3 linked regions of the Drosophila melanogaster genome follow. Changing the gene in region 2 together with the main gene of any one other region gives a genetic interaction. Each region holds a gene or a part of one and is shown on either strand. Other genes may lie near its edges.

The links. Genes that interact genetically often act in the same process or in processes that back each other up.
Region 1: of Kdm5 (region 2) and Su(var)3-9, changing one suppresses a phenotype caused by changing the other (phenotypic suppression), as found in Drosophila melanogaster (one study listed by BioGRID).
Region 3: of Kdm5 (region 2) and htt, changing one suppresses a phenotype caused by changing the other (phenotypic suppression), as found in Drosophila melanogaster (one study listed by BioGRID).

The regions. Positions count from the first base shown.
Region 1 is NT_033777.3:15,259,247-15,265,459, forward strand, and holds Su(var)3-9 (suppressor of variegation 3-9), read right to left. Parts: upstream 4,213-6,213; 5' UTR 4,102-4,212; coding exon 4,036-4,101; intron 3,692-4,035; exon of another isoform or gene 3,593-3,691; coding exon of another isoform or gene 3,551-3,592; intron 3,476-3,550; coding exon 3,301-3,475; intron 2,652-3,300; coding exon 985-2,651; 3' UTR 618-984; downstream 1-617. Other genes in the region: eIF2gamma (eukaryotic translation initiation factor 2 subunit gamma), read right to left, coding at 1-137, 204-440, 3,301-3,475, 4,036-4,101; Set, read left to right, coding at 4,441-4,698, 5,107-5,296, 5,359-5,709, 5,773-5,783. UniProt on the Drosophila melanogaster protein: Histone methyltransferase that specifically trimethylates 'Lys-9' of histone H3 using monomethylated H3 'Lys-9' as substrate.
Region 2 is NT_033779.5:5,996,409-6,001,186, forward strand, and holds the start of Kdm5 (lysine demethylase 5), read right to left. Parts: upstream 3,094-4,778; 5' UTR 2,890-3,093; intron 1,357-2,889; exon of another isoform or gene 1,275-1,356; intron 378-1,274; exon of another isoform or gene 306-377; intron 124-305; 5' UTR 83-123; coding exon 1-82. Other genes in the region: Tsp26A (tetraspanin 26A), read left to right, coding at 3,904-4,191, 4,256-4,336, 4,397-4,675, 4,751-4,778. UniProt on the Drosophila melanogaster protein: Histone demethylase that specifically demethylates 'Lys-4' of histone H3, thereby playing a central role in histone code. Does not demethylate histone H3 'Lys-9', H3 'Lys-27', H3 'Lys-36', H3 'Lys-79' or H4 'Lys-20'.
Region 3 is NT_033777.3:28,694,618-28,699,358, reverse strand, and holds the start of htt (huntingtin), read right to left. Parts: upstream 3,118-4,741; 5' UTR 3,028-3,117; coding exon 2,954-3,027; intron 2,688-2,953; coding exon 2,430-2,687; intron 2,367-2,429; coding exon 2,150-2,366; intron 2,089-2,149; coding exon 1,959-2,088; intron 1-1,958. Other genes in the region: snu (snustorr), read right to left, coding at 4,201-4,375, 4,435-4,741.

The DNA.
Region 1 (6,213 bases), on a different chromosome or scaffold from region 2:
CTCCTCGTACTGCTCTTTCGCCTGGCTCTCCTTGATCAGATCGATCTTGTTTTGCAAGATCAGAATCTGTTTCAGCTTCATAATCTCAATGGCGGCCAAATGCTCAGAGGTTTGCGGTTGTGGACAGGATTCATTGCCTGCACATGGAATAGGTAGTAATTTGTATATCTTTTGTCGGTTCAGAGAGATCCAGGGTTACTCACCAGCAATGAGCAGCAGAGCAGCGTCCATCACAGCAGCACCGTTCAACATGGTAGCCATAAGAATGTCGTGACCGGGGCAATCCACGAAGCTCACATGTCGCACCAGTCTGAAGTTGCCGGAGCAGTTGAGCCGAGTGCAGGGCAAGCTGTCGTCCTTGCTGGATGCATCCGATACGAAGCTGGCCGGGCGCGGGCACTTGGGGTTGTCACACTTGTAGATTTTGGCGTTGGCATAACCTAAAAGCAATGCGATAATAATTATGAAGAATATTACAATACATTCTTCGAACTCCTGGCCTGGCAAACACGTAAAATAATCCTTCGTTCTTCACAAGGAATTAAGTGCTATTGCTAACTAAATTCATTTCTTTGATCCTTCCAGATCATTTATACAGCCACAAACAAACATCACTTAATAATCGTAAAATATTTATTGTAAAATAATAATTTGCACTTAATGCGGTAATAATTTCAGCACATTACAAGGTTGTTTGTCAAAACACTAAGTTATTACTAAATTAAAATTTAAGTTTATGAAATGTATACAAGTACAAACTATATAGAATTACTCGTTTTATCCTCTAGTAATATAGATCCTCAAACATAATATAGATCCAATATATCGATATTAGCATTTATTAACAAATAAATAATTAAAACGTCGGAATATAAAATCCAACTAGTAATATATATATATGTTAACAAAAAAAAAAAAGGTTCAATGCAATGATGTCTCAGGTGGGTAACGGCGTGCCATTTAAATATAGTACTTCAAGTCCATTCAAAAGAGGACCTTTCTGCAATTATCAGCTCCGCAGCGGCACTCGACACGCACAGCTGTCGAGAGGTTCTCGTAGGGCACATCTTCGTTGTCCGCGCGAATGTAGTCGAAGCTCAACTCCTCGCCCGCCTTGATTGGACGCAGTGTGAAGAACACGAGGTGCGGCAGCGCGACATTCAGGTGCTCGATCCAACAGGGGAACACGGCGAGATTAGGATCGCAAGAGTGATTGATAAAGTGCGAGATGTTGCCATAGTTAGCTGCATCGATAGTGTACTCGCTATCCTGAGCTGTGTTGTAATCCAAGTCGAACAGATATGTCCTCCCATTGTCGTCATACGCCTTGCCGCGCTCATTTGCCTCATCGCTGGTGATGATCTCTCCAATGTACTCGCACACAAATTCACCCTTACGCAAGGCAGTTGCGGCTCGCACCCCCCATCCGCTGCCGTTGGCGGTCTTAAACAGCACCAACGGTACCTGGCGTCCGTGCTGCACCAGACGGTTGGAGCAGCTTGAATCGCACGAGCAGCGGCTATTGCACTCATAGATGGCACTTCCGGGACGAAGGCGCAAGCGCCGTGTGCTTCGCTCGTAGGCGAACAGCTCGCCGGCGAAGCGGGCACAACACTTCGTAGAGGCAGTACACTCCTCTGTGTCTTCAGTGCACTTACAGCCCACAATCCCCGCTTCCGGCTTGGGCACATCCTTGCCGATTATGTTATCATGTATGTACATGAAATTGCTGTCTATGGTGTCCAGATCAATGTTGTTCTCAACACGTATTGGCGGTGACGGTTTCTCCACATGATTCATGCGCTTCTCGAACAATGCTAGATCAGCCAACTGCTTGCGTCGTACAAATTGGGCCCGCTTGATTTGCATGCTTTTCAGGGCTCGTTCTCCAATTTTCTGCGGTTCCCTTTGGCTTCGACTGCCAGCAGCGCGATATTGGGCGAGCAGTATAAGATCGATCTGCAGATTGAGTGGCTCATAGGCGTCTACTTCGGCCACCGTAATGTTCTCCATTAGTGGCAATGCCTCCAGCTGCTTCTCAAGCTCAGTGGTTATCTTGGCTATGTATATCTCGTAGAGCTGCTGATGCCGCTCCACAAACTTCTCCATTTCGGCGCAGTCGGCCACGTTGGCAAGACTTTCCCAGGTGTTCTCGCTATCATGGTATCCCAGCCATTTGACGAAGAAGACTGGCTGATATTGATCCATCTCGACGCATTCAATACGCTCCACAACGTACTCTCCTTTGGGCGGCCTTTTGGCAATTACTCCCATGTTATTTTTCGACCGCTTGGAGTTGGGAGTTGGGGCGCCCACACAACTGCTGCGTCGACGCTTCAGTTTGGCGAATCCGTTGAGACTGGGTATTTTGTCCACATCATGTTCCTCGCAGCCAAAAACGCTGCCATAGCCGCTACTATTGCTTGGACTCAGTGAGGTCTGACTGGTGCTTCGCCGGGTGGTGCGTCTATCTACACTGGAGGTGGATGCTGGCATGGAAGACGAAGCTGGCTTGGTGCAGAGGCGGCGGAATCGGCTATGTCGCCGCAATTCGGCCAGGTGGCGCAGCATTGAACGCTGTTTGATTTCATACTGCTGTCGCTGCTGCTTGGAGGTCAAAAGATTTTTGATTTTTTTTTCGCTCAAGCGTTCTGCAAATGACAAGTTTTGGACAATTGTGGATTGGATGATGGGTTTGGTGTGTTTTTTTTTTTATTTGGCGGACGCGTCGCAACCGAAAAAATCGTAAAAACAAGAGAAATAGGGAAAAAGAAGAAAAAGATTGGCAATTAATTAAATTGCTGGATCAGTCGTATCAATCAATGTAACAGATTCAAGACTAAGCTAACAGGAAGATATGCTTAATACCAATCTTTGGGAACGCTTTTTAATTCAGCTTTGTAAAGTACAACATTCTAAAGACAACTTCTTTTATCATTTTAGACTACTTAGGCGACGACACAAGGCAACGCGTGCTAATCCAGCAATTTAAGTTAACAAAATACACAAGAATTCGAATTACAAGAGACAATCATTCGCAGAACCCTTTTACAACATTATCTCGATGTAAAGCAGCGACAGAGTTGGCTACGCGGTGTGCCGTCGCGATACGGTGTTAAAAAGTGGTTCTTAAGATAATTATGGGTTATTTTCGGCCAGCCGAGAAGGTTTACAATCTTAGGGCACTACGGGGTTTACGGGCGAGCAGGAAGAATTAACATACGGCTAAATTATTATCAAGTAGAATAATACATCTTAAGATTATATGCTTAGGCTAGCTTACACGGATCCCTGACTCACCCAGCTTGATTGTGATGTTGCGCTCCAGTTCGTTCTTGAAGCGCACAGTCTGCACGCCGGATATGGCTTTGACCACCGTGGATTTGCCGTGAGCCACATGACCGATGGTGCCGATGTTGATGGTCGCCTGTCGGGAGATGACCTCCGGTGATAGAGGCGTTAGTTTAGAGACGTCCTGCAAGATTCCAAATGCAATACGATAAATAAAGGCGCTTTAATAGAGGAAAATCAGAGCACAAGTCTTGTTTACCGCCGCCACACCCCCTAACAAAACATCCCCTCTCAGATGCATGTGTGTATATAGGAAAGCCGTCAATTTTGAGGTTAGAATGTCGCTTGAATTGCATCAACTCAAAATTGATGACAACAGTCAGGTAGTCCTCGCGAAACTGATCTGCTTGCCAGAGCCCAAATACCGCCAGAGTCCGCATCATGCCCATATGCAGAGCCAAAGTTGCGGGATAAACCAAACAGACCCTAAATGTAGCGCCACGTGCTGCATTTTCACCGTGATCTCTCACCCACAACAAATCACTGCTGGCCCTGGCGAAACCCACTGGTATATCCCTCGAAATTGGTCCGCGAACCGTTCGAGACAATCTGGGCGCGTCCTTGCGACCCGCACCCCGCTGTTTTTCCGGGAAGCGGCTCCATAATGACGACGCGTATACTTTCACACACGGGCGGAAAAAAAGGGAAGGCGGCGTCTGGCGGTCGTCTTTGCTGGCTGCTTACCAAGTTGCTGAGGTCCTGCTTCTGCAAGTTCCTGTTCACACCGATCTGGGCTTCAGCCGTGGCCATGTTGCTGATGTTTTCAAAAACGATGCGTATGCAAAATGAAAATAATAATTTTCAGCTATTACAGCTCGGCATCAAATCTCGATATCGAAGAACGATTGGACCCGACAATGCCTATCGATAGTGCTCTAATCATGGTTGGCCAGTGTTGGACACGTCACACCGGTGCCCAACTGCGATGCGTATCGATAGAGTGCCGCCCTATCGATACACTTACAGTTCTTCAGCCGCAAACGAAAGGTTAAAAATCCGCTTCGCTTCTCTTCTGCTCAACTGTACCGCCGCTTTTTGTTCAAATATCTCGGGAATTACGAGCGTACACACAACGGAAGAGCGTGCAGAATGTCGAGCGTGCCAAAGCGAGCCAAGCTGGACGGCGCCCCCGCCGATGGCAACACATCCGCCGCCGCCGGTAACAACGAGGAGGAGTCGGAGGCGTTGGAGCAAATTGATGCCTGCCAGAACGAGATCGATGCGCTGAACGAGAAGGCCAGCGAGGAGATCCTCAAGGTGGAGCAGAAGTACAACAAGCTGCGGAAGCCCTGCTACGAGAAGCGCAGCGAGCTGGTCAAGCGCATCCCCAACTTTTGGGTGACCTCGGTGAGTACTTCGATCCGCGGCCATGTTTGTCCCCTCCGCGTGTTCGTCTGATGGGTTCTAGTGGAGCCGACTAGATCTTTCGAAGCCCTGAAGTGATGGTAATCGCTGCACACATGTACAAGAAATTTTCTCTATTCGAGGCATTTTTTCTTGTTCATCTTTGGGCTGCAATGCCGACACCACCGGCTCCCCGCGCATTTTCCCCCTCCCGGAAAAATCGTGCTATCGATATATCCGTCTGGCCGGGAAATACACAACATAGCACAGTTCAAAATGGCTTCAAATCAAAAACCACTGAAATATTTGCTGCCATAATTGAAAAGAAAAGTAGTGCCATAGGGGCCATAAACATGGCTTTCTGCTTGATAGCATGCATCCCCTAGCTAATCCCAACTGCCATATTTGCAGTTTATCAACCACCCGCAAGTATCCGGCATTCTGGACGAGGAGGAGGAGGAGTGCCTGCACGCGCTCAACAAACTTGAGGTTGAGGAGTTTGAGGACATCAAATCGGGTTACCGCATCAACTTCCATTTCGACGAGAATCCTTACTTCGAAAACAAGGTGCTCACCAAAGAGTTCCACCTGAATTCAGCGGGTAAGTTCTCCCAACGATTGATTCAAATCCGCTTAGCTAACCCATTACTATTTCAATTAAAGCTGCTTCCGAGAACGGAGACTGGCCCGCGTCTACCAGCACGCCCATCAAATGGAAGGAGGGAAAGAACCTGCTAAAACTTTTGCTGACAAAGCCGTACGGAAACAAGAAGAAGCGCAACTCCGAATACAAAACCTTCTTCGATTGGTTCTCGGATAACACCGATCCCGTCAACGACGAGATCGCAGAACTGATAAAAGACGACCTTTGGCCAAATCCACTGCAGTATTATCTGGTACCTGATATCGAGGTGGAGCCCGAGGACGAGGAGGACAACGAAGATAATGATGAGGAGGCATTTGACGACGAGGACGGTGAGGATGGAGAAGGCGAGGAAGAGGAAGAGGATGAGGGTAAGCTAATGGAGTGCCTTTTGAACAGAAGGAATTTACTAACCACCTAACCAACCATTTTAGATGACAAGTAAACTGATTAATGCAATTTCAAATCGCTCGCAACCGAAGGCCCACATTGTTTATAACCACTGGCAACTATAGTTTTCCCGATGGTTATGCAACATTTACATATTCGCAACGATTTAAGGACATATTTAGGTTTCGAAATAAGCAAAAGTCATACATCCATTAAAGAGCAGCAGAAAATGAGAATCACCATTAAATTAATTTAAAACAAATAAAAAGACGTAAATCGAATCTCAAGCCGTGTCTTTTTATGTAAGTAAAGAATTACCAAAGTATTCAATTCGATGTTTATAAAATAATTTATTACTTTATTAATTAATATTTATTAATTAATTAATTATTTAATAGCAAATTAGAGGTGTTACTATTAAGGTAGATTTTGGGTACCCAGAAATACCTATCTTTTAATATATCCTTTAAGAATTACTTTAAAGT
Region 2 (4,778 bases):
CGCCGGATGAGGTGCCGCTCCCGACTCCTCCGCCGCCGGAGTTGGCGGCCGTCGTGTTGTCCGCCTCAGTTTTGGCGGACATAGCTTTAAGATGAGTTCAGATTAAATTTATTCCGCTCGGTTCTGAAATAGAGAATAAAAGTTACGGATGAGTTCACAACTTGGTAATATTAAATTCGCTCCGGAAAGGTTGTTTTCGTTATTAGGGTTGAAAGACCTGTCCCGGTTATTTAATTATTGTGGCAGACACACTTCTTGGCAGTTTAGCTACTTTGTATTTCAGCTTCAACTACAGTACTCATTACCTAAAGTTGCTAGTAAGAAACGGCTTATTGGCAGTTTGTTTATTCTACTTTAAACGGCATAATATACCAATTAAATTCTCCCTAATTACAACGTTATTTAAATTTGACTTTTAAGCCAATGAAAGTTTATCTAAGGTTTGTTTGCAATAACTCAATAATAATTGTAGTTACTGCAGTTTATATATGTATATATATAAATATTTCAACAACTAGGGGTTACTTGTTGTTGGTAGAGCTATTATGGTGGCTTTTCAGATACACACACTCCCGCCCCGCGCCCCTTGCATTAATTAACGATTCGTTGCCCCGTCGACAGATTTAAATTGGTTAATATCCACAAGAGAACTGTCGTCTTAGTTGGACTTTCCTACCGCTCCTATTGATCGGAGAGGGAACCCCTGCGGCCCACTGTATCTACATCAAATCGCCGCACACCTGTGTGTGTGTGTATATGTGTTGTGGTGCCTGCACTCAACCCTCGCAGGTAAACAAACAACATTTACAGAGGTGAAAACTCGACTTTGCGACGGTGCAAGTGCAGTTACCAAACGATTACTTCGGTTGTGAGGTTGTATCCAGTGCCGCCGGCGGGATCGCAGGATGGGCAACTGCACTGGACCTAGGCGAAGTAATGCCTTTCTCGCATGTTTCCCTCCAGGGGGATGTGGCTTCTCCCGAGGAGTAATAGAGAGAGAGAGAGAGAGTGCAGCGGCGATTAGCCAGCAGCACTGAATTTGTTGCATACAAAAGTGGAGCACGCCAATACAGGCACAACCCCGGACACGAACACGGGGGATTTCCTGGCCGTGTGTATGTATAACATAGCGACCAATAAACTTACAAATTCGATAGCGAACATGTATACACCAAGTGTGCAAAAGGGGATTATACTTATACGCATTGTATTCAAAACATTCAGCACACAGGACCTTCATGCACACACACACACACACTAACACAAGCACATACACTGAGCAAAAGGTGAAAGCTGTTATCTACGAATTCAGCTGACGAAATCGAGAAGCGGAAACGAAGCCATGTTGAAAACCACTGTCAACTCCAACTTCCGGCTGGAGTTCCCAACAGATTTTTCGCGTTTGTCAGCTAGACACAAGGAAGCCGCCGCGACAGAGCTTTGCTTTGGTGGTTGTTGTGACGCACACACACTCTCGCACGAATGTGGGGCGCCACTGCCACTGCTGCCACCACCGAAAAGGGAGTAGAAGTGGGTGGGCAATGTGTGCCTGCCTGACTGACTGGCGGTGCGTGCGTATGTGTGTGTGTGTATAGTTTCCCGTGTGCTTGATCAGGAAGAGCCCGCTCTCGCCTAGAGAGAGCGAGATGAGCGACGACGAGTACCGTTTTTGTGTATCAAGTGAGCAAAGTACATCGTCGACAGCGACGCCGGCAGAGGCATGCTACGTTTGCTGCTCTGCTCGGGATAATGGGATATTATTTCCCTGCGAATCCGTTCCAAATCAAAATCGGTGGATTGCGATTTCGGATTATTGATTGGGCAGCACGGCGTCGTGACAAGTGCCATTTTCCAAACTGCAGCCAGCTGTTCGCTGTTAGTGTTGGACGGGGGAAACTGATTTTCCGTTCTGCGGCCGCCGATCGCTCGGAAAAGCAGCCTAAGCCGAAAGCTTCTTTTATATAATTTCCATTTTCAGCCGCGCACACACACCCGCACGCAGCTTACACGGGCACAAACAAACAGCTTACACGGACACGGGGCACGACAGACACAGGTACGCGAATACAGGCACACACATTCGCACCGAGCATGTACATAAATATGGATGGATTTGGCGAAATTAGCACTGGATATTGGTTACTTTCCAGCAGGAGCGCAAAATTTACGCATTTGCCCTGCCATATTGCACATTTCCAACGGTGGGGGGAGTGGCGGTGAGCGGAAACAGAAAAGCTGAACTGATTTTTTTTTTTGGAAGGTGACTGCAGCACTGTACTTTTCGAATAGTAACTCCCCGCGAACAGCTCGACTGGAGCTATATATTCACTATATACTTGAAAGTCACTAAACTCAGTGGCATATATTGGCTTTCCAGGCGTGGGATCACAATATTTTTCGCTATGATGGCGACCGGGCAGCGACGCAACGCACTTTGCAGCGCTGTCGCTGCTCTGCTGGCGTGTGCAATTGGTGCGCGATTTTCCGTCCGCGGTTTTCCACCGTAATCCGTTCATCCGCGACGTGGTTCCTAACCTAGCCGCGACCTGGCGTTGTCTTCTGGCCGCATTTTCACAATTATTACGGATTTTCGGAATCCCGATTGCGCTGCCAGCAGAGGGAACACACATACAAACATTTTCCACGACTAGTGCGGGGGGTTGTTTTCGCTGTTGGCCAACGCAGAGGCTGCAATCCGCACTTTTCCTGATCTATATGCACCGACTTGGCCAGGTGGGCGTCTGCGTTTTGCTAGTTTGTTCGCTTTTCGCTGCTAATTAAACGTTTTCAGCCATCAGAAGTGCCCCTAAACTCACACACTGGCACGCACACAATCGCACTGGGTTCGGGCACTGGGAACTGGGCACCCTACACTGGGCAAAAACTCACTGTCGTCATAGGAAGTCGTTGGAAGACGCGCACGCTCGGTATGTGATCGAAATGAGTGTTCCATAAAACCACCGAGCACGGCACTGGCGAGGTGGCTTTAATGCGAATTTACTTTTCTGATTTCTTTCTCCGATGTCTGCGTTTTTTCCTGCTACATGTGTCCAGTGTGACCCGTCGTCGAAGTGCCGGAAACGTCGATCTGCCCCACAAAAGTTCGGGAAAATACCAGCCACCGTCCGCGTTGTGCAGCACTGGCCTTCAAATCAAACACAGTTTCTTATCGGCGGAGGTCGACGAATCGGATCTCGTCTTATCGCCGACCCCCCGTTTATTGTTTCGTTTCTGTATTAGATTCAAAATCAGTTCGGTCATAGGCGTTACTCAGTCTAGCCGGCGCCGCGTTTAACACTATGCCGGTTCAGGGACAGGACTTGAAACATCCATAGGATCCATCGAGCATATACGCAAGGTTTCCTAAGTACGCTTTTTTAATTAATTTTATGAAATGTGTTTCAATACAGTGGTAAGCTAAAAAAAGAAAGTTTGGCATTCTACAAGAGTGAATTATATTCTAAGTTATTAATATAAGTAAGTGAGCTCTTTTATTGTTTTTAGAATACTGTGTGTTAATTTAAGCCTTGGCTTTAAGAATTTGAATTTGTATAATATATTTAAAATAACCAGTAGACATAAGTATTTAGTTAACGGTAATGCCTATGAAATTGTTGTTGCTCAACTCAACAAATCAGCAGAAAATGAAATAAATACGCAAACTGGTTTCTGTAAAATACATTGTTTATGCAAGATCAATAAAAAAAAAACAAACATCCAAGTTTTAAAGTTCGTAAGATTGAACAAAATGGCGGTTTTCTTGGGAAACGGTATTCTTTGCAACGTATTTGGAGCCGTCGCACTGCGTGATAAAAAAAGTGCAGTCACGGTCACACTGGCGAGCAGAATTTCATACGTTTTTGTTTCCTTTTGGCCATATTTATTATTGTTAAAATTGGAGCAATGCCAGCTGCTGTGCGCAAGTTCCGCCGCGAGACCAGTGAAATCAGCTGCTGTCTGAAGTACCTTTTGTTCGCCAGCAATGTGATCCTGTGGCTCTCGGCCCTGCTGGTCCTCTCCGTTGGCATCTGGGCCTGGAGCGAGAAGGGCATGTTCCGCAACATTGCGCGGCTGCACTTCATCGCCCTGGACCCGGCCTTCGTCCTGATCATCCTGGGAGGCGTCACCTTCCTACTGGGCTTCATGGGCAGCGTGGGCGCCTTGCGCGAGAACACCTGCCTCCTGGGGGCGGTGGGTACCACATTGTTAGTGGATCCCCTCTGGACCTAGTTAATCCTTATTTTTCCGCTTGCAGTACGCCATCTTCTTGAGTGTCTTGCTTATCGCAGAGATCGGCTTCTGTGCCGTGGCCTTCGTGCTCAAGGACAAGGGCTGGGTGAGTTCCATTTGAAGGCCACTATTCTAGCCAGCCATTACTAAGGTTTGCCTTTTCCAGATCAAAGACCAGGCCACCGAGGGACTCAAGGCCTTCATTCGCCACTATCGCGAGGACGCAGACCAGCAGAATCTCATTGATTGGATCCAGGAGGATTGGTTGCAGTGTTGCGGCATTGATGGTCCCAAGGACTGGGACAGCAACAACTACTTCAATTGCTCGTCTATCGCTATTGGCAGCAGGGAGGCGTGCGGAGTGCCATTCTCCTGCTGCCGCAGACGTCCGCAGGAGGTGATCAAGAACAAGCAATGCGGCTACGATGTACGCAAGGAGGGATATGTAAGTCCGCTAGCTGTTTTCCCCCGTCTTTCCGAAATGCATATTGAAATTCACCCACGAATCGTACGCATGCAGCCGGTGGATAGGAATATACATGAGCGTG
Region 3 (4,741 bases), on a different chromosome or scaffold from region 2:
ATGAAAATAATTACTTTGACATTCTCGACCAGGTGGACAATCTGGGGGCCATGGAGTACGTTTTCAAAGAGATCAGCAGCGTTTTCAGATTATGAATTGGTCATTGTGCCATTTGTGCTGCCATACCAAGTTGCCATGGAAAATAATTTGCACTTTTTGTTTAGCTCGGCATCAGTCAGTGGGCAACATAAATTTTGCCAGCTCCCCTTTGCATCTGCCGACTTTCCTTTGCTGGCCTCGTTCGGCCGGCATTTGTTTACAACGTTGATTATCCGCTTTAAAGCTGCACAGGAATGAATATCTGATTCAATTTCGCATGAATTATTGCATGGAAGTGTCCAAGTGCATAAATTTCATTTCGTCTACGGGCGGGGAGACAAACAAACGGAGATGGCGTGGGCGAGGGCGGCTCTGCGGTCTGTGTTCTGGGGTCTGGGATCTAGGATCCCGGCTCTGAGCTCTGAGTTCTGAGGTCTGAGCACCGTACTTTGTGTCTGTTTGTTGGGGCATGCCAGAACACAGGCAGCCCAAGTACTATGATGGGTGCCCATAAAAAGAGGCGCCAGACTGTATAAGGATGCGCTGAAGAGTTGCCTGGCATTGTGCCTTTGCCGAGAAGTGGCATAAAGTTGACACAGGACTAGAAGACCGGTAGGCGGCAGGGAAAGGAGCAGAGCTAGAAACCGGAACAGGAGCTAAAGGAGTTGATTTGAAGGTAAACATTTGGACAAGAAAAGAGCAAAGGAAGAGTCAAGCCGAAGCTTAATTTATATGAACTTGGGCGAGGTCAGAATTTTGACTTCCATAAAGGTAGTCCTAGCAAATGAATTAGTTTTCCCAGTCCGGTATATCACTTCAATTGTTTGCAAATGCCAAACACCGAGCTCCTCTGAGGTTTGAACTTAATTTTTTGTTGGACAATGCAGCAGGTCATAAAAAGACGATGGCAAATGTAACGTAACTATGGTGCATTTACCTCTTCGTCGACGTTTGCCAATAATATTTTCATGAAAATTCAATAAAAAATGATTTGTGTTTGCAATTTTTAAGCATTTTCGCATGGCTCACGTTGCCATGACTTTTGTTTTTGCCGCTGCAGTTATTGCTGCAGTCCGCCAGTTAGCAAATGTTAAAATAAAAACTGCCCGCTATCGTTGCCTAAAATCAAAACAAATCTGGAAAAAATATATGTGTGTATATTCGTACATTCGATGGCTCGTCCATCGATTGCGCATGGTAACCAACAGCACTGTAGAAATATAATTTATATCAACTGTCTAGTTACTTTTATTGTGCCACGCCCCCTTTAGCGCCCACAGGCCACAGACAAACAAACCCATGGCTGTGATTGCATTCACAATTCGAGTTTGAATAAAACCAAAAACCATCTATTCCCGCGCTCGCGTAGTTCGCAGTTCGATGGCTTTACATTTTGGTAAGGTATTTTTCATGGATTTGCGGCTTTTTAGAATATTAAAAATATTTTTTAGCTGCAGAGCCAGCACGAACCTAACAATATATGTATATATATGACGATCTATGCGAGGCTTAGTATTTGGCCGTTACACGCTTTTTAAACATCTCTTTCATTATTGATGTGAATATAAAGAGCGTCCTGTTGAACACAAAGTGTCGTAGCGAAAATGCGTTAAATAACTAACAGCGATAGCAGCGAATAGTGAATACGTTTATCCAAAAGTGTACAAACAATAGAGGCTGTTATTAAGGCTGCAATATTGTTAAATTTAATGGTGTTACTCTTTGCGAAATAACAATAACAGCTGACCCTAGAGTTTTGAAACAAGTGTATCATTCTGCTGAATTTAAATTCCTTTTCTAATAGTAAATAACAGCACTCACGAACTTCTCATTTGCTATAGTTGCTAGTAAGGATGCAGTGTTCATATGGATTTTTCGTATTTCTCTCAGAAATTCATTTCCTATTTAAGCTGTCTTACCCATCACTTTGTTGACCCCATGTCTGGCCATGAGGCTCCTATTGCGTGCATTCTCAATCAGACTCATGCAGTTTTGGGCAGAGCAACGACGCTTGACGGCACAATCGGAGCTAATTTGGTCCAGAAAAGTCTGCAAAAGTCAACAAACGCTTAAACATAAAAAGAAAAGACGTTTAGGGATATTATTCTACCTCGAACAGTTTGCAGGATTCGCTATCGCTGAGACCCTGTTGTATATGGCGGCTAAAGTGCTTGACGAAGTCGCAAAGAGTCTCCTGGAGCAACGTCTCCTTGCGCTGGGAAATGGTGGTCATACATTGGAGCAATCTCACGGCATACCACTTGATGTGTTTCTCCTTTATTTGTGGAGCATAGTAGGAGAAAAGGTTTAGGCAAATCCTCAGGGATCTGTGCAGAAAGTTTTTCTTTTTTAAGATTGTTATTTTAGCTTTAATATATTTGCCTCCTTACCTCTGGTTACCATTACGCTTAATTTCACCATACAGATCCATAAGAATGCGACTGACCCGGGTTTTCTCGAGTGACCTCAGTATTTTATTTAGGTTTTCCTCGGCGCTCATCCGAACCACGGAATCCACATCCTCGCAGAACAGCAGCAGAACATTCGTGGCCGTGCCGCAGTGGGCGGCATAGTTGATGTGGCCCGCCAGCGAGGGCGACATGATGCACTCGGCAATCTGCTGAAAGCAGGTGATCTTCTGCTTTTGGCTGTGGGGGGTTCGAAATAAATTAGTTTTATTACAGGTATGTGGCATGACGTCATAGCGGATGCACTTATTGCTCAATGTTGAATGAATGTTTTGGGTGGCCTAACAAGTTGGCAGGTTCATCTTAAGGGCAATAAAACCACCGGAAATCACCTGGGCTTCATAATTTAATCAATATTGTTCCGTAATGAGCAACAAACTGTTGCCGGTCCCCTCCCCAAAACATTCAATGCAACCGAAAACAATCAAATTTCCGTTCAGTCCCACCTGCATTCCGTATTTCGCAGTTGTTCCACGAAGCCAACGAACTTGTCGTACGCACTGGACCTGGATTTGTCCATTTTCGCGTCCTTAATAACGCCTAAAATCGCTTTTTAAGCATAAACAACACAGGAAAACATTGCTCTTTTGTTATGATTTCAATCAGCTGTAACGCCAGTGTTACCAGAGCGCACAACTGCTTTTAAGCGGAACACCAGCGACCAGCCCTGGTATTCAAGTTAGCTATCGTTAAATATTTAAATTTTGAACTAACCTGCTAAATTATCTTTTTAGTTTTGGAGAAAATTAGAAGTGATAACATATTTATTAAATTCCAGCCAGTTGGTCACAATGAGTTGTTATTTCCTGCATTTAAAAGACTGTTATGGACATGCTAGAAAACAGTAACAGTGCATTGGCGCCAATGTTAAAATGAGAACATCTTTTTCAAAATGTAAGTAAACCAACAATTAAATTTAACTTTATTTATTTATTCACGCTTTATTATTATTTATACATAACTGCGTTCACATTAATATTTACTTAAATAAGAACGTTTTTCACTTGTTCGTTGTTCATTGTCTTATGTTTGTTCGTTGTGAAATATTTATGCTCTGCGCAAAATATTTCCTGAAATATATTTTTACATACTCTTTAGGGTTGCGTACATTATTGTATTTAATTATGTTTTACCTTAAAAAACTTAAACCCATACAAAAATGCTTTAAGCTACTTAATGTTAATAACAAAACCCACCATTGTTTTTGTTCGTTTTCATTGTGTTTTCTTTTTGTTTAGGCTTGCCCTACGTGTATTCGCGTGAATTATGTAGAAAAAACAATCACAGTCCATTGAAAATATATAAAATTAGTTGCGTTTGTATGTGATAAACTGCCCGTGTCGGCGTCGAGAAAAGGTCTAGTACAGAGGGTTGCAAATAATGGACATCTAGAGCAACGGATTACTGAATTCGTGACACAAAATATTTACAACATTTCATTTAGGAGTACCTAAACCTTACGCTTTAAACTACGAAAGTGCGGAACTTAGTCTAAGGAAAAACGAGTGCCGAGTGGAAAGCTAAGGAAAGCTGCGAATGTGCTTAAATAATTTATGACATTTGGGCAGATACGAAGGGAAGTGAAACTCGAAAGTGGAATTAAGAAGAAGACCCGAAGTGGGTGTAAACTAATTAGGACGACTTATCGTGTTCTAAAGTTAGGCATCTAAAAGTAGCGTAATATCTGAAGATCCTAGCCGCGTTTGGCTCGCAGCACGAGAAGCGTCAGCACCAGGAAGCCCACAATCCAGGACAGCGTGCTCACATAGCCGATGTACACATCCGACTCCAGTATCGCCCAGCCACGTGTGAGGATGGAGCGCAGCGAAGAGGTGGCTAGCGTTAGTGGCAGGCACAGTGATATGTATCTGGGGGATAAGATTTTTTAAATTTCCATTCACAACAGAGTAATACCACAAGAACTCACCTCAGCACCACGGGCATGCCCTCAATCGGCCAGATCACTCCAGACAGCAGCAGGGTGGGATAGAAGGAGCCCAGCGCCAGCTGTATGGCATTCCTCTCCAGCTCGCACACCGAGGAGATGAGGAAGCCAAAGCACATTCCACACATGCCCTGCAACAGGGTCAGCACGATGACCCAGAATAGGTCGCCGTTGTTGGTAACCCCGAACACCACCAGCATGAAGATCAACACCAGAGTGGTCTGTCCGCACATCACCACGAACTGGGTGATCACGTGCGAGAATAGAATCTCGAAGGGCGAGACGCCAG